5 linked regions of the Xenopus tropicalis genome follow. The protein of the gene in region 4 purifies or fractionates together with the protein of the main gene of each other region. This does not show direct contact. Links are inferred from orthologs where the notes say so. Each region holds a gene or a part of one and is shown on either strand. Other genes may lie near its edges.

Region 1 (4,073 bases), on a different chromosome or scaffold from region 4:
AGCAAGCGGATAGCCAAACTAAATAATGGGGCAGTTGGTAGGTCAGCCAGTGTATAGGCACTGACACTGAAACAATGGAGCTTAATTTAAAAGTTTAAAACTATCAGATGCATTTCAACAATAAGGACACCTTTTTCTGAGAAACCAATAAATGTAACTGCCCTTTCCTTAATATCCCTTTTGCCAAAAGGGATATTTTGCCTTTTGACAAAGTCTATTTTTACCATCAGATAACAGCCCTAGCCACAGGGGAGATACCTCTGGCTTAAAGGAACAGTAACACCAAAAAATGCAAGAGCTTTAAAGTAATAAAAATATAATGCACTGTTGCCCTGCACTGGTAAAACTGGTGTGTTTGCTACAGTAACACTACTATAATTTATATAGTAAGCTGCTGTGTAGCCACGGGGGCAGCCATTCAAGCTGGAAAAAAGGCACAGGTTACATAGCAGATAACAGATAAAACACTATTGTATTCTACAGAACTTATCTGTTATCTGCTATGTGCTGGTGCCTTTTCTCCTTTGAATGGCTGCCCCCATGGCTACATAGCAGCTTATTTATATAAATTATAGTAGACTTTCTGAAGTAAACACACAACTTTTACCAGTGCAGGGCAGCAGCACATTATATTTTGGCTACTTTTATTCATTTTTTGGTGTTACTGTTCCTTTAAAGGAAAAGCATACCCCAGAACAATGTAGGTCTCTTTAAAAAAAAAAAAACCTAAGAGATTATATATATATATATATATATATATATATATATATATATAGTGAACCCAGGGTGGCACTCTGCTTCAGCTCTTAGCTCCGGTGCAAGGTAAATGATTTAAATATCCAAAAAAGACCAGCAGCACCGAGTTATATTCCAAAATCAATCAATTGTGGCTGTTTATGCGTTTTTAATACACAATTGTTTTTGGAATATAACTCGGTGTTGCTGGTCTTTTTTGGATATATAAATAAACTTAAACACAACCAGCACCAAGGGTCTTATAGTTCAAACAATCTCAAGTGTATTGCATGTATAACAGACACTTTCGAAAAAAGTCCGAAAAGGGACTGAAACGTTGGTTATACATGCAATACACTTGAGATTGTTTGAACTATAAGACCCTTGGTGCTGGTTGTGTTTTATTTTGTATTCTGTGCACAAGGGTGGCTATCTAATTGCATTTTGGAGTGAGGTGCTGTCGTGAGGACTTCTTATATATTTATTAAAAAAAACAGCTAACATATAAAACTCTACTTTATCTAAATAAACCATTTTTAGAAAAATAACCTTTTTTAGTAGTATGTGTCATTCCAAAATAGAAAACTGGAATTTTAAGTACTAAGGGCTACCACCACACCAGATTATATGATTTTCATGATTCATGGGGCACACATACATCATACCAGCCAATTAACAGAAGTTCTGTCTTTTACTACCACACTACTTCCTGTTAAAGTTAGAGATGCAATATTTTTGGCCAGGTGATCTCTGAGGGAGCACACAGACCATCACAAAACGGCAGCTTAAGGTAAAAGGGGTAATATTTACTGATATATATGCTCCAGATTGGAAATATTCTTAAATAGGCCACTTAAATACCCAACAAATACTTTTCATCATATTATTCTGAAGGTATAGTTTTCCTTGTGTCAGGACAACTGAAAGTGATGCTGTTTTTTATTATGTGGTGTTATGTAGGAAAAGCATCTTGTTGCCGTTTCACTAAATATTTTTGTCTTTGCTGGAGAACTAAAGTAAAAATATAATTTTAATCTCTAACCTGCTGCCCTGCACTGGTGTTTGTCTTCATTAGAAAGCACACTGTCCCAGACTACTTGACAGTTGCCTCCATTTTCTTGCCTGTTTCCCAGCATCCGCTGCAGCTCCCTGGAAAGGGGTGATTACTGTACTGTATATGCACCCAACATAATTGGCACAGAGGATTGGGACTACACACTCTGCAGTCCAGTGCGTTTTCCAAAGACAGGGGTAGGGGCAGGGGTAACAGCATAGCCATTTGAATGACTTTAGTTCTCCTGTAATATGTCACAATTACAGGAGAACTAAAGTGATTCTGTAATATATCACAATTACTATACTTGCAGGGATTCGTTAACCATTTGTGCGCTGGTGTTTTGCTTGCAATGTGTTCACATCCGAGCTGTGTGTTTATGTTCCGTGCAGAAGGTGTGCTTGTTTGTTTCAGACAAACGGATGTGTTGTTATTGTGTAGCAGCAGCAGCAATGTTACTACAGGATAGGAAGTGCGGCATGTGAGGCAAGTGCGGTATTGTGAGAATTGTGAGGCAAGTGCGGTATTGTGGGGACTGGCTAAGAAGACAATGTCAGTAAGTGAGGAGGCTGTGCTGTTATTGTGTGGCGGGCTCGCTCACCGGGTAGAGGTTCCCTTGCGTACATCGCACATCAGGCACTTGAAGGCCTCGGCGCTGTTCTTAAAAGTGCACACGCTACAGTCCCAGTATCCTTCGTCTGATGAAGGCTTCGGCTGCCTCTTCGGCCTGGGGGAAGAGGAAATTGTTAGAGACAAGGGCATACACGCTGACAAGGCGGCCTGTTCCCCTAGCCCCGGCCTCGGGCGCTTCTAACACAGTGAAAAGGAGATTGCCTAGGCAATCCTCGCAGCCTCTCACCAGCTTCTACTTCCTTTTTTGCTTTAGCCGTGCTCTTACCTGGTCGGACTCTTCTTGTCTCCCATGCTGCTTCAGAGGAAGCTGAGCGCAGGCCGAGCGGGGAGAGAGCCCGGGCTATGAGGCGGGAGTGGGCGCCTACACCGACCGCGATCAACCGCAGCCAGCTGTCCACCGCAACACGTGACCTGGCGCGACCAATAACAGGCCGACAAAGCAATACCAGAGCCGCTTGGAAAACTAAAGCGACTTTGCTTGATGTATGTGCGGAGAAGAGGCCGTAAGGGGCTGCCTTATGGTCGGCATTACTATGGAAAAGAAAGCGCACATGAAAAAGTCCGAGCATAAAGGAAATCTGCCCGGGGATACAAGGAAATGCGCAGGGCAAATGTAGGCGCACGTAGCGTGTGATGGAGGAAGCGCTGGCAAACACCGCTGGTTGTCTCATAATCAACACAAACGACTGTAGCTGAAAGGACCGTGGCTCTTCTTCTGTCTCTACCTCAGTAATGGAGTTAAAGAATACTGAGCCAAAGCAATGCAAGGCTAAGGCAGCCGGGCCTCTCAGCTAAACAGCAAACTTAGAGGAGTTGTGTATCCGCATGTTTAACACAGACGCATTCAACGGGGCTTGTACTCAACATACTTTTCCCAGTTGTTTTAATTAAGCGATATTGTTGCCATGTATTACACAATAGGGCAATAACTAAACTAAAAGCAGTTTCACTTTACAACTTCCTGTGGTTCTCCTAAGCATCTGGTGAGGGTGGTGAATAAGTCAGTAAAAGAGAAAAATGCAGCTTTAAATCACTAGTCCCCCAATCAGAAAGCCTCACAGAAACTGTAGCTATTTGATTATGGGTGGGGGTTGTTTATACAATGCTCAATAGCTATAAACTTATTACAGGGGGAAGGAACTAAAGGTAAAATCATAATTATGATATGTGCCTAATAACAGAAAAATAAATATATGCTTTCAAGGGACATTATACAACATTGCTAAAAAGAACTTAAAATGTTTTGGGAGACATCAGAATAATAATGAGAAAAGGAATAATGGTAAGGTCTTAATAGGGGACCTGTCACCTTAAGAAATAATTCCAAATTCTTTTGTCTTATTTGAGCAAAATAAACTTTACATTTTCTTTCATTCATTCTTACAATTTACAGTCACAAGCACAGGCACAATTTTGTGGACATTTTTATTAAGGGAAACTTTGTATCACCTTTAAAATCTTGTGTATGTGCCAGAATTGGGGACCTGATGCCAATGCACAGACACAATTATAGACAGTTATTTGAAAGGGAAAATGTGAGGAGGGCATTGACATTGGAATTGGCATTGATTTGGGAGTACAGAATGGAAAGTAAAAGTGATTTTGTCAGATTATATATTTTGTAAAATACCATCACTTTAATAACTGTAAT
Region 2 (2,328 bases), on a different chromosome or scaffold from region 4:
ACATACAACATAGACGGGCGTTTTTTTTTCCAACTTTTTTCAAATCCGATCCATTTTAAACATGGATGGTACTTTATATTTAAATAACAGTAATGGGGAGAAAATAAACTAATGAATCAGAAGACAGTGAAGGGACCAAATTCATTAAAAAAAATGCAGTCCAAGAGCATAACAATATTAGGATGAGGCCAAAAGAAAAAAAAAAAGTCTGTAAAAGAGCTGGACGGGGCTAATGAGGGGCTAATATGGGGCCGAAGTGAAGCTTGGTACAGGCTGCTGGTTTTATTGCTGTGGCCAGTCTAGCTCGCGTCCATCCGTAGTTTCTTTCTGCTTTGGGGTTCTTCAGTTTCCGACTCAGAGCTTGAGTAATTGGACTGCAGCTGAGAGCTGGATTTTGCTTTTTCCAGTGCACGAACTACAGTGGGGGGAACAGACAAATCATTAGGGTCACTCTGCTATACGTTTCTTACATTAGTTATCCATTCATTGCCTTTAAACCAGTCAAAAACCAATTAGCAGGTCATGTCAAGGGAACATCAGTTGCTAAGATGTAATACACCTTTACCACCAGGTATAGGGGGGAATACATGACATTTTTGCAGTTGGACCAATAAGTTTGGGGAGTGAGCAGGGCTGTGAAGGGGGATTTAGTTCCCTTTTACTTTATTTACTTTACAGCAAATGCCTTTTTGCCTCCCTTTAGCCCATCACCAAAGTCACTGCCTGCCCAAGTCTCCACTGCTCCCTAGGGTTGCAAAATGAGTTGTGATGTATAAACTACACTTCTCTTAGCATATGAATGGAACCCAAATTAGGTGCCCTCAATAAAAGGTGGCCATACACGTAGCGATTCTGATCTTTTGCGCGACCATTTGTCCCATGAAAGATCGTTCCCACCCTCCACTGACGTTCAGGTATGGAGGTAGAAACAATAGAAATTCTACCTCTACCTGGCGATTAGCCCTGAACGTAGTTCTTCTCGGGCGCCTTCAATGGCGCCCAATCCAAATCTTTTAACCTGCCCGATCAACAAGTCGACCGATATCCGCAGCCTTCTGCAATATCGGTAACCTCTTTGAGCAGCCATACACGCCCCGAATGTCGTATGAAAACAAGGTTTCATGCGATATTATCGGTGAGAATATGGCCAGCTTAAGGCTGAGCCGTTACCTAATGGTAGCCAAGGAGGTCTGAAGTAAACACAGAGGCTAGGGAATGCGACATACGCACAGTTTTTTTGCTTCCGGGCTCTGCTGTTTGTTTACTTTTGCTCATATATATATTCAAATGACAAACTGGTCCAGTATATGGCTTGGGACTTTGTACATGGTTGAACAAATAAACAATGGCTGCTTTGTATGTTCTATGTAACCCTAAAATAAATCTCATTTACCTTGTTGTTCTAATAAAGCGTTCTGTCGCTTTAAGTCATCGATATCTTGCTGGTGTGTGTGATTTTTCCTCCTCATGTACTGAATGTACTCTGTAGCTTTGTCCAGTATTTGGGCCCTCGATGCCTGTACCAGAAATGAAAGGTTATTGAACAACTAGTTAATGCAAGTAAGCCAAAGGCCTTGTATTCCACCACCATAAAAAAAAAAAAAAAAAAAATGTTAGTGTAGGTTATATGCTGGTTTATTTACTAAGCAGTACAGCAGCTCATTTTTTGCTAATACTGTACAGATCATTTCACTGCAACTTACAATACACAGACACTTTTTTTATGACATTCCTTTACTGCTTCAGTTGTTGCAGAACTACAACACCAGGGATCAGTTTTGTGGTTGGAGGATGCTGGGTGTTAGTTAGAACTGATACTGCCAAACAATAAAAAGGAGGCAATTATTAGCACCTACTTTATACCTATTTGTTAGGCATGTTATATACAATTATTATAGATTATGGGTTTCTGGATAAAGGATCCTATACCTGTATTGTGAAAGGAAGTATAAAATAAGTGCAATATTTCACAAACATTTTCCAGTGATCTGCAAATCTTTATTTTGATCCTATGGCTAATGGGTTATTAGACTGTGCCTACTATGCAGAGCAGAAAGGGCATATAACATGACCAGACCTCCTGGGAGCACAAAAAACTCACACTTTCTAAAACTTAGAATACATACTGGGAATTTGGGCAGCTGCACCCCCAAAAAATCCCTTTAATTTTGTTGGTGACATTGAACCAACTATTTTTTGAAGAGCAGGCACTCACTGAGCAAATCTTCAGACAGAATTCTTGATTAAAAATGAACTTTATTGGAGTCACAGACACTTATAATGTACATGTAAATATGAATATATTTTGAAAAGTAGTTTTTTAGTGTC
Region 3 (3,354 bases), on a different chromosome or scaffold from region 4:
CAGCACATTATTAAGAACGCTAGCACTATTAAAAACAAAGTTTGACAGCTTCTGAGATGGTTTTTTGAAAAATGGAAGTGTTTAGAAAATAGTCTGTGGAATTAAGCTGAAACCCAAAAATATAATTTGCCATGGGCCACTCTGGAACAAACCGTCTTAGACAGGAACATGAGCAAGATAAAGTGGGACAGTTTATGTAGGAGAACGGGGATATGGGCCCAGGCCTGTCTGGCAATCTGTGGGTTCTGGCAAATGCCAGAGGGACTGCTGTAAAAGACCATTGGCAATCACTATTTATTGGGCTGTTTGGGCCTCTGTGTATTGGAAATGTCAGGGCCTATTCTGACTCCCAGTCCAGACCAGTATGGGACCAGCCAAACCTAATTTGAATTGAAATTACTTTTTAACACAAACCCTTTCAAATAAGTGGGGAAAAATAATTGTTTTTATCTGAAAAAAAACATTTTTTTTCAATTCAATACAGCCTTTTGTGTTAAAATAAAGTCACATATTACAAGGATTTTTTTTCTTTTTACAAAAAAGAAGTTTATTTACAAAAATAAAGTATTTATGCCAGATATTACAAATTACTTTAACTGACAAAATATATCTTAAAAGTGTGTATGCTTTTGAAGGGCAAACAAAGGCTTTAACAAATCTGTGTATAAAAGTTGTTTACTTGCAAGCACAATGTCCCATGTAGAGCAGAACTATGCAAGTAAAGTTCCCCCTTCACGTCCCACCTCACTGGTAGGGCACTCAGCAACTCTTCATGTATCACAGATTATGCAGTTGTGAACAGCTGGATCAGGAGATGGCTGGTATCCAACCGCTGATCCCAGTTACCACTACCCACAATAAATGTTTTGCAGTAAACCTGCTGAGGCTTTTTTTCCTATTTTTTGGATTTCTACAATTGTATTTGGTTGCAGCACAGAGCAACAACTAGAAGCTAAAGCTTTTTTTCGTAAATATTTTATACAAAGTTCACCAATCATTTTTTAATTTTATAATACAGCCACCAGGTGGGCACCAGCTAGAGCAGTGATCCTCAACCAATGGCTTGTGAGCAACATTGCTCGCATATTGCTCACCACCCCCTTGTGTTGCTCCCAGTGGCCTCAAAATAGGTACCCATTTTTAAATCTCTGGCTTGGAGACAAGTTTTGGAAGTATAGAGATGCAGTTTTACTCCAAGTAGAGCCTCCTGCAGGTCAGCAGTCCTTATGGGGCTACCAAATAACCCCTTTTTTAATGCTTGTGTGGCTCACAACACTTTTTACATCTGCGTGTGGGTCACAACTAAAAAATGTTTGGGGATCCCTGATTGAGATGGTAAAGTAACCTCAAGGGTGGGTAACACAGAGGGCAATCTCTGTAACTGCATAAAGTTGCAGTACATGGCATTTGGTACAGGTGTCCAGTCTAAGTAAACAGCCCTGCACACATTTGATAGGTACTCTTAATAGAAGAGCAGCTATGAAATCAAAGGCAATTTCTGACATAATGAGAGAAAAAAAAACTTATATAAAGGGCTAAGAGAAAAACACAACTGCAGCATATTTGCCTTTCACATGGATGTGCCAGCATTTTGTGAATGAATAGAGATTCAAGTTACTTATCTTAAAGATTTTAAATTGAATAATCCCTATACAGTGGATAAAAGAATGCTGCAACTGGATATCAGACCCCTCTTCATCCTCTGCAGGTATTTCATCAACATATATTGCTCAACAATTGACCAAAACAAACAAAAATACCCCCACTGTATATACATAATAATATTTACATAAATACACATCTTTTTATGAAAACCCCCAGGGGCCCTATTTACAAAGAGTAGACAAGCACTGGCCGCAAAGGGATTCTGTCACGGAAAAACATGATTTTTGCAAAATGCATCAGCGTTGCTCCAGCAGAGTCCTGTACCACAATCTGTTTTTCAATTTCATTTTGAAATTTGACATTAGGCTAAAATGCCACTGTTGAATCCATCATCTACAGTCCCCAACCTTTCAAAACCAGTTGATAGAGGATGATTTCATATAAAGGTCACATGGGCCAAAATACATACATACATACATACATACATGCCAATAAGCATTCTTCAAAGCAATTAACACTAACCAACTGTTCTTAATGCTGCCTATGGTCACTTTCATTCTGTTTACAAAAAAGCACAAGCTGGCCTTCTTGGATTTGCTTATTACATGAACAGCTATATTATTGTTACATGTAAAGCTGCTTCATAGTTCCACCTCCTCTTCTTCTTTAATTTCCTTTTTCATGTCCTGGTTCTTTACTTGTTCGAGTTCACAAACCTCCATCTCTTCTTCCTTTATTTGCACTGCGATAACTGCAAGACATGATACAATGAGTAAAATGCTCTGTGTAGCAATGCACCACAAGATTTAAAAGAATGAGAATAACTGTTGGTATACTAATAGGCAGTAAAAGTATATTCTTCTAATGTGCAAAAATAAGAGCACTATAGAGTTGTTATCACTTTAATATACCAATTTGCCACAGTCTTGCTCCAATAATTGTGTGTACTTTGTTAGATAAAGATTTCAATTTTGCCATAGCAGGGATTTCTCACAACTCTTCACTAAACGTTCCATGCTGTATGGTTCCCCCAACCCAGACACCCTCCAATTCCACTTACTCTCGCCTTCTTCAGACTTTGGGTTGCACATATTCTCTCTGCTGCTGCTGCTATCTTCCATCTCAAGGTCAGCTGGCACAAGATCCACAGAATTCTTGCCAGCACTTGTGGAAGGCACCACTTCCATGACATGCTTATTTGCTGGATCATCTTAAAGTGAAATGTAAAAACACTGTGAAAGAATAATAATAATAAGACTAGAAAGAAGGTAAGAATGCACCAAAGGATGAACTAGAAGAACTAAAATAACCTAAACTTATAAAGGAATTCTGTCATGATTTTTATGGTGTACTTTGTATTACTAAATTACACTGTTTATATTGCAAGCAATTCACTCTACCATATAACATTTTAATGTTAAACCATTAAATGCATTTTTTTAGTTGTAATATTGTGCCTGAGTCTGCGCTATCAGAAAGAGCCAGCACTTCACAACAGAACTGCTTGCTGATAACCTATTGTTTCCCCTACTCCAGTGCTGTCCAACTGGCGGCCCCCCTCTGTGTGGCCCCCCACCTGTCTGGCCAGCATTGTGTCACTGTAGGCTGCCTGTGTGTGCCATACACACAAGCATCATAGAGCAAGCAGAGTATGGCACACACAGGCAGGGTAGGGAAGGCAGAGTATGGCACACACAGGCCGAGTATGGCACACACAGGCCGAGTATGGCACACACAGGCCGAGTATGG
Region 4 (3,959 bases):
GAAGGTACCCAAGTTCAGCAAGTATCAGCTCATTGGATTCATTATTTACAGTTAACTAATTAAATGCATTTTTCAATGTCTCTGCTTATTACTGAGAATGTGCCTGACCAGACAGAGTTCCAAAGGAAACATTCAAATAACCTAAGTTAGATGTGATTATTATTTTCCTTGTGTTTCTCTCTATCTAGCCAAAGGCAACAACAGCCCTTTAGCAGGGAAGATCTGTGCCTCCAAAGTTGGGCAACTTATAAATGTCACAATACAAAGCTGATTAGTTATTGATTTAGATTCAGATTACACGGCAACAACAATGAATCAGCCCTGTAGCATCAGCTTCTATAACCGGCCAGCCTCATTTTCTGCTTGATAATTTGCTACAGCCCCTAAGCTTAGCTTTTCAACAGCTGCCCAGACCTTACTGAGCATGTGCAGCGACACTTCTAAAAAAAAAAAAAAAAAAATACAAGATGGAGAGCTCCTGTACATAACCTTAAAGACTGGGAGCATTATTGCTATAAAGAGCCTTTCTTTAGGTCTCCATTAAATATCAAACCTTTAGAGGTGGCACCCAGGCTTACTGAGCTGCTATTAGGACAAATGAGAGGAGAGACCGTCACTTGTTAGCAAAAGATGGACTGTCTATGTGTCACAGCTGCCAAAATAAGCACGTTTGCAGTGATTATAAAAATGTGAACAGCCCGCAAAGAAAGATTCTAGAAAAATGTAATCGCTTATTATAATACACAAGTTTCAGTGAGTTACATCACTAAGAACCATTTATAACTGATGACATCACTAAGCACTGTTTATAAGGATATCATTTACAGGATACTCTTGTGATATTCTCTTGCGTATTATATATTTAGAAGCAATAATGCAAAAGCCACAGATATCCCGGTGGAACATATTGTTGTGGGAAAAGAGTAAAATGAACATACTTTTAGTCGGTATCTTAATTTCTTCATGCTGAATTTCTGTTTTCATCTGCAAAAGAACACAAAGAATTAAGCTTTCTTTGGGCCTGTATCCTGCACTGCTTGCTGTGCATTATAGTAAGGCAAGGGTAATTCCTGGTTTCACTGTATCACTACACACAAGGCAAAATACCACATTGTTCACGATTGCATGAACAGTCCTAGCAAACATCTAACACCCGAAAAAAACAGCACCTCTTGATTTATTAGAACTGTGTGATCCTGGGTAAAGTGTTTGAGTGTTTTGAATATATGTTTAGCAGCTTTCTAGCTTGGAATTTCAACCACTATCTAGTTGCTAGGGTAGTTTTACCATAGCAACCAGTCAGTGGCTTAAATATGAATCACAGGGGGACTGAAAGCAAATGATTTTCAGCTGCAGGGGTCAGTGACCCCCATTTGAGAGCTGAGAGCAGAAGGGGAAAGAAAATAACTCTATAAAAAAAAAAAAAAAGAAGACCAAATGAAATGAAATGTTGCTGAGAATATGCCATTCAACATGCTAAAAGTTAACGTACAGGTTAAATGCATGGAAGAAAAAAATGGACTTCACATTCTCTAAGTGTGTGTTTTAATAGCAGGTAAAGGGAATTACAAGTAATTTTAGCTGCAACCATTAGGTTCTTGCTGAATTACAACACTCAGAACGACTCTAACAAACTATGAGTAAAGGCAAAACAGCTGAACAAGAGCTATAGGACTGCAGGATGTACATCCCTGGGGAATATACTATAGGTAGGTGACAATGGTACATCCCTGGGGAATATACTATAGGTAGGTGACAATGGTACATCCCTGGGGAATATACTATAGGTAGGTGACAATGGTACATTCCTGGGGAATATACTATAGGTAGGTGACAATGGTACATCCCTGGGGAATATACTATAGGTAGGTGACAATGGTACATCCCTGGGGAATATACTATAGGTAGGTGACAATGGTACATCCCTGGGGAATATACTATAGGTAGGTGACAATGGTACATCCCTGGGGAATATACTATAGGTAGGTGACAATGGTACATCCCTGGGGAATATACTATAGGTAGGTGACAATGGTACATCCCTGGGGAATATACTATAGGTAGGTGACAATGGTACATCCCTGGGGAATATACTATAGGTAGGTGACAATGGTACATCCCTGGGGAATATACTATAGGTAGGTGACAATGGTACATCCCTGGGGAATATACTATAGGTAGGTGACAATGGTACATCCCTGGGGAATATACTATAGGTAGGTGACAATGGTACATCCCTGGGGAATATACTATAGGTAGGTGACAATGGTACATCCCTGGGGAATATACTATAGGTAGGTGACAATGGTACATCCCTGGGGAATATACTATAGGTAGGTGACAATGGTAACAGGAGCCTCCCCTAAGGGCCCACTGGGGCATGTATAGCAGCAGCCCTGCCAACTGTGAGAGCGAAGCAGCAGACTGTGTAGCTAAGGCTAAATGAAACACAACAGATGTATAACATACACAAGTGACATCACAAGTTAATAAATGATTATATCCCTGCGGCTGTATAACACCGCTGTGCATGCTGGGAACACAGAACACACCAGCGAGGGAAGGTGCACGGCTCTCACCTTCACTACTTCCTCTGCTTCAACCAAGTCACTCGTTGTGGCCGCGGGAAGTGGGCTGAAAAGCTCCGGCGACGGGGAAGACATGTTACCAGGAACCCGCGGGAATTCTCACACACGCAGAACCGTGGGACAGTCACCTGACATGCTCTGCGGCGCGCAATCATGTCGTCACGGCGAGTCAGCCTATCAGCGCTTGTGGGCGAGGGTTCTGCGTCGCGCAATCATGTCGTCATGGCGAGTCAGCCTATCAGCACTTGTGGGCGAGGGTTTAAGGCGTAGCGAGCTCGGGTTGGCGCCTGGTGTTGCTTCATGCGGTGACTGAAGTCTAAGGGGGAATGAAACTGCTCAGTCCTGCTACTTAATAGCTGCTCCTTAGCTGCTAACTGATATTATGGGGGACGGAGCTGTGAGGCTTATGTAGCAACTCTGGGGAAACTTGCACAGTAATCCAGGGCAGCCAATCAGGTTGCTGCTTTTGCTGTAACTGCATAAAAACTAATCAGTGGTACCTGTGGGCTACTGGGTCGGTGTTGTTCTGCCCAGGATTAACCAGCGTGTCTTTGCTTGGGCCCAGACTGGCAATCTGTGGGTTCTGGCAAATGCCAGAGGGGCTGCTGTAAGGTGCCATGTTACTATTTATTGGGCTGCTGGGGGGAGTAGTCTGGGCCTGTTTATGTTCATAGCTGTGTTGCTGATTTTTAAAAGAAGACTAATTGCACAGAAGCATTTCAGTACCTTCCAGTCCTTTTTCTTTACTCGCTTCTCTTTGCTAAATATCCCCAGTGAGTGGTTTTAACTGCGAGCTATAAAATGATTGTCCTGAGACAATGTGTACAAGTGACACAAACCCATGTAGGTCAATAGAATCCAGACAGGGCTGTTCTATATACATGTATGTTTAGGGTTTGTTTAAAAAGACACAACCCTGTTGTCGAACTCCATAAGCCAGATATTGGTCGTTCAAGGTGTCTGGTTTGGTGGGCTGCAGTGTGTACATTTAATCAGCCTGTAATGGGCAGCTTAAAGGTGGCCACATGGTCGCACGAAACATCGTCAGATCCGCCACACACCGTTCAGGGCTGAAACAGCAGATAAGGAGGTAGAAACAATAGGATTTCTACCTCCTTCTGCCGATTCAGCCCTGACGGCAGATTTTGGTCAGGCGCCTTCTATGGCACCCTATCAAAATTTTCTAACCTGGCCGATCGGCGAGTTGACCGATATCAGCAGCTTCCTGCGATATCAGTCGACTTGCCTACATGCCATACACGCACCGAATATCGTACGAAACGAGGTTTCGTACAATAGTATCGGTGCGAGTATGGCCAGCTTTAGAGAGCAAGGGCCAGATATTGTTGCACTTTGAGGGTTGGGAGATTA
Region 5 (3,520 bases), on a different chromosome or scaffold from region 4:
AGAAGGAGTTATTTGCTTGGCAACTAGTATCTATCAGCATCAGCATAACAGAAATAGCCAATCAATTCACAATCACCGTCAGAGTTTGTTTTATACTTTGTGTTATAGTCTTTTTTTTTGTAGGGAAAAACAGCTCTAATACTCAAAGAGAGCACAGACCATTTATTTATTGCAGCTAACTGCCCACCAAAAAACTAAAACTACTCACTCGTGCATGTAAAAAGATAGACGTCAGAGATGGGGATAATAATATCAGAAGTGGTACAGAATTTTAAATTAATTTGATTTAGAAGTTTCTTTTTTCCATGGGATAAAACTAATATTAAATGTTTGGTGTCATAATAGCACCCCTTTAAATGTGACTTTACTGATACCTGGATTACGGACAAGTGACTGACTGCTTGGCTGTACATTAGTGGCACGAACTTGTTGCAAAGGGACAAGTTGGATAATCTGTCCGTTAGGATGTCTGAATAAATTAAGCTTTCCAGGGCTTCGGATAGGCTGCAAAATCATCTTTTGTCCTGGGGTTTGTGGCATTGGCTGCACTGGACGGACAGGCGTGGAGCCAGACTGAACTGGAATAAGTAGGAGTCGAGGTCCCAGTCGGTTTTCTAATCCAGTAGGCAAAACTGATGGTCTTGGAACTTGACCAGGGGTCTGGGGTACAGCTTTAAAAGGGACAAAAGACAATTATCAAAAAAAGGTAGTTAAAACACACACACATTCCATCTCTACAGTATTCTATGAATACATCCACATTCTGGCACCCTTCAGTTTAATGATACTTCCCTTCATGAAGTTTGCAAATCTTCATCAGTTACTGGTTTGTCAAACAAATTACTGGGATACTGTAATTATTAATGAACCTATTTTCAAACCTTATTGTACAGGTCTCCATATTAAAAAATGTAATTAACACCCCCTGTGGTCCTTGCCTGACATGATTTTCAGACTCCTTGACTAGATATCAGTCAAGCAGGGTAGTGTTGCTGACCTGGTCTGGAGCGTGCTAGTCAGGCAATGATGGCTACTTTTCTATACACTGATGGATATGAGCTGGATTGTGTTACACATCATATAGTATCATGATTAACCTTAGTTACTGACTTAACTACACCACAAGGCTATAAAAATGAGAAGACCGTTTCAATCTAAAGATCCTTGCAATTTAGGGCATTTTATCCCCATGAATTCAGTACTACAAATTAAACAGCAAGTTTAGAAGAATATCACTTAACACAGCAGTACTGCCCATTTGTCACAGCCATTGATAAAGAGCTAATTAGGCTCAGAACGTTGTTGTTGCCCCTGTTGTGATAATAAAGGCTTTTTAACTTTATAATGGAGTGCTGCCAGTAACCATTTGAACAGCCATTTGCCATGCACAGCACTGACACATGTTACTAAAAACCTGGATGGAAAAGTGAAAGCTGAACTCCATTAGCCCAATGGTATGGAATAACCTTTACAAATCCTTGGCAACTGCCATATTCCTTGCCTTTGGAAGAAGCATCCACACTAGACTAATCATCACACTGTACAAATGTGGTGCTTCTGTGTATTTCTATAACATATCCCTCCTCTAAACTGTGTAATATGGCAATTTCCATTCATTGAAAATATGCACTCATTTCACTATGCCCTCATTTTTAAACAATCACAATACCTTCTTTTTGACTTACTGAGACTATAACAAGTGAAAGTTTCATGGTTTCTCTTGATTAATGTTTCCCTAGATTGAGATTATAATTATACTCACAAAACTTTCAATTTCAACATTGTTATTGTTTAATAACTGAGTCTTAGTTTAGTGCCCCATATTTAATTAAAAACTTTAGCTCTATTAGAACTTTTTTGGATATATCCATACCTGGTTTTAGAGTTAGTGTAGGCATAGCATTAGTACCAGCCAGGGAAGAGACTGATCCAAGAGTCCTTACAGTTGATGTAGGTGCCAGTTTTGGTGCCAGCTGAGGAGCAATGCTTGTGGAAGTACCAGAGAGACTAACTGTGGATGTAGTTAAAGTAGAAGAGGGCAAAGTTTTTACTAAGGGTGAAGCAATTAAAGATGGAAGAGGTGCAAGTGACTCTTTCGGTCTCGTAAAGGATGTTACACTTGCAGTCTGAGTACTTCCACCTGAGGCAGCTACTACTAGCCCTGGGGGAACAGAGACAGGAGTGTCCTTTGGTAATAGTTTAGTAACACTTATAAGAGTTGGCATTGAAGGTAAGGCTTTATCTCGTGATGGTGATACTGTGCCTACGCCAGCCAGATTTGTTAAATTAATTGTAGAAGGATTAGTGCAGATAGCTGAAGCTTGCTTTCCTGAGGCCATTGATGTAACAACTAGCAGTGATGGAGAAGTCTCATGGGCAATCTTCTGTGTCCCAGATGAGTTTATTTCTGAGGTTTTCTGCTGAAGAGTTCCAACTTCATTTAAAATTAACTGAGTCAATGTGGTACTGAGGGCAGGTTGTGGAACTGCAAAGTAAAACAGATCAAAATAGCTGAAACCGCAATGGTAATGTGGCAGAAAATACTTTAACAACCATACAATTGTACAGGTATGGCACCTGTTATCCAGAATGCGTGGGACCTGGGCTTTTCTGGATAAGGAGTCTTTTAGTAATTTGGATCTCCATACCTTAAGCTAAAAAATCATTTCAAAATAACATAAACCTGATAGGATTGTTTTGCCTCCAATAAGGATTAATTATATCTTAGCTGGGGTCAAGTACAAGGTACTGTTTTATTACTACAGAGAAAATGGAAATCATTTTTAAAAATTTTATTTTTTGATTAAAATTATTGGATTATTGGATTTCCAGATTTTAGCAAATATCAGAACCCACCAACATCCAAGAGCTGAAGCTGTTCTGAATGGAGGAATGGGCTAAGGACTGTTCAACAGTTACCACAAACATTTAGTTGCAGTTTCTGCTGCACAAGGGGGTCACAGCAAATAATGAGAGCACCATTCACAGATATGTTATTGGATCATTTTTTTTTTCAATAGGAAAATCAGATGATGTTTTAGGTCTCATTCATGTAAAAATATATAAAATTGTAAAGGGTTCACAAACTTTCAAGCACCACTGTACTGAACGAAAACCTGCATCCCATTCAAAGATTAATTTGTAAGGAATATACAACTACCTAGGCCAGTGCTATTTATATAGCAAGTAAATCAGATCTTTGTTTTTATTTTCTAACTGGTAGTAGCCCCAACTAAATGCCAATTGGTTGCTATGGGACCTATGCTAGTAAATGAGCCTTCTTAGCTTTTATAAATTCCCAAGGTAAAAAGGTAATTGCTATGACAATGGGCAGAGGTAAACATTTCAGAACAACAATGTTGAGAGAACTTTTTCGAAACACATACATACCAATATTTCTTGGTGTGGGTTGTTTAACATTCAGAGTTGCTGCAATGTTTTCTTTAAACTTCCCTTCAACACTACTGGAAGCTGTTTTTTCATCTTTTGATAGGGCATTGACTTTTACTTCATTCAGTTT

What was found.
Region 1: the proteins of e2f6 (region 4) and yaf2 purify together in Homo sapiens (affinity purification with mass spectrometry; 4 studies listed by BioGRID and IntAct, counting the BioPlex papers as one, with this or other methods). This does not show direct contact. The link is inferred for Xenopus tropicalis from reciprocal best matches to the Homo sapiens genes E2F6 and YAF2.
Region 2: the proteins of e2f6 (region 4) and max purify together in Homo sapiens (affinity purification with mass spectrometry; 5 studies listed by BioGRID and IntAct, with this or other methods). This does not show direct contact. The link is inferred for Xenopus tropicalis from reciprocal best matches to the Homo sapiens genes E2F6 and MAX.
Region 3: the proteins of e2f6 (region 4) and l3mbtl2 purify together in Homo sapiens (affinity purification with mass spectrometry; 5 studies listed by BioGRID and IntAct, counting the BioPlex papers as one, with this or other methods). This does not show direct contact. The link is inferred for Xenopus tropicalis from reciprocal best matches to the Homo sapiens genes E2F6 and L3MBTL2.
Region 5: the proteins of e2f6 (region 4) and mga purify together in Homo sapiens (affinity purification with mass spectrometry; 3 studies listed by BioGRID and IntAct, counting the BioPlex papers as one, with this or other methods). This does not show direct contact. The link is inferred for Xenopus tropicalis from reciprocal best matches to the Homo sapiens genes E2F6 and MGA.

What each region holds. Positions count from the first base shown.
Region 1 is NC_030679.2:64,862,371-64,866,443, reverse strand, and holds the start of yaf2 (YY1-associated factor 2), read right to left. Parts: upstream 2,809-4,073; 5' UTR 2,714-2,808; coding exon 2,688-2,713; intron 2,517-2,687; coding exon 2,391-2,516; intron 1-2,390. UniProt on the Homo sapiens protein: Binds to MYC and inhibits MYC-mediated transactivation. Also binds to MYCN and enhances MYCN-dependent transcriptional activation. Increases calpain 2-mediated proteolysis of YY1 in vitro.
Region 2 is NC_030684.2:119,967,667-119,969,994, reverse strand, and holds part of max (protein max), read right to left. Parts: intron 1,518-2,328; coding exon 1,394-1,517; intron 416-1,393; coding exon 300-415; 3' UTR 1-299. UniProt on the Homo sapiens protein: Transcription regulator. Forms a sequence-specific DNA-binding protein complex with MYC or MAD which recognizes the core sequence 5'-CAC[GA]TG-3'. The MYC:MAX complex is a transcriptional activator, whereas the MAD:MAX complex is a repressor.
Region 3 is NC_030680.2:115,987,133-115,990,486, forward strand, and holds the end of l3mbtl2 (lethal(3)malignant brain tumor-like protein 2), read right to left. Parts: intron 2,838-3,354; coding exon of another isoform or gene 2,816-2,837; coding exon 2,666-2,815; intron 2,357-2,665; coding exon 2,247-2,356; 3' UTR 521-2,246; downstream 1-520. UniProt on the Homo sapiens protein: Putative Polycomb group (PcG) protein. PcG proteins maintain the transcriptionally repressive state of genes, probably via a modification of chromatin, rendering it heritably changed in its expressibility.
Region 4 is NC_030681.2:138,935,314-138,939,272, forward strand, and holds the start of e2f6 (transcription factor E2F6), read right to left. Parts: upstream 2,802-3,959; 5' UTR 2,664-2,801; coding exon 2,580-2,663; intron 985-2,579; coding exon 939-984; intron 1-938. UniProt on the Homo sapiens protein: Inhibitor of E2F-dependent transcription. Binds DNA cooperatively with DP proteins through the E2 recognition site, 5'-TTTC[CG]CGC-3'. Has a preference for the 5'-TTTCCCGC-3' E2F recognition site.
Region 5 is NC_030684.2:105,140,296-105,143,815, forward strand, and holds part of mga (MAX gene-associated protein), read right to left. Parts: coding exon 3,391-3,520; intron 2,486-3,390; coding exon 1,874-2,485; intron 672-1,873; coding exon 375-671; intron 1-374. UniProt on the Homo sapiens protein: Functions as a dual-specificity transcription factor, regulating the expression of both MAX-network and T-box family target genes. Functions as a repressor or an activator.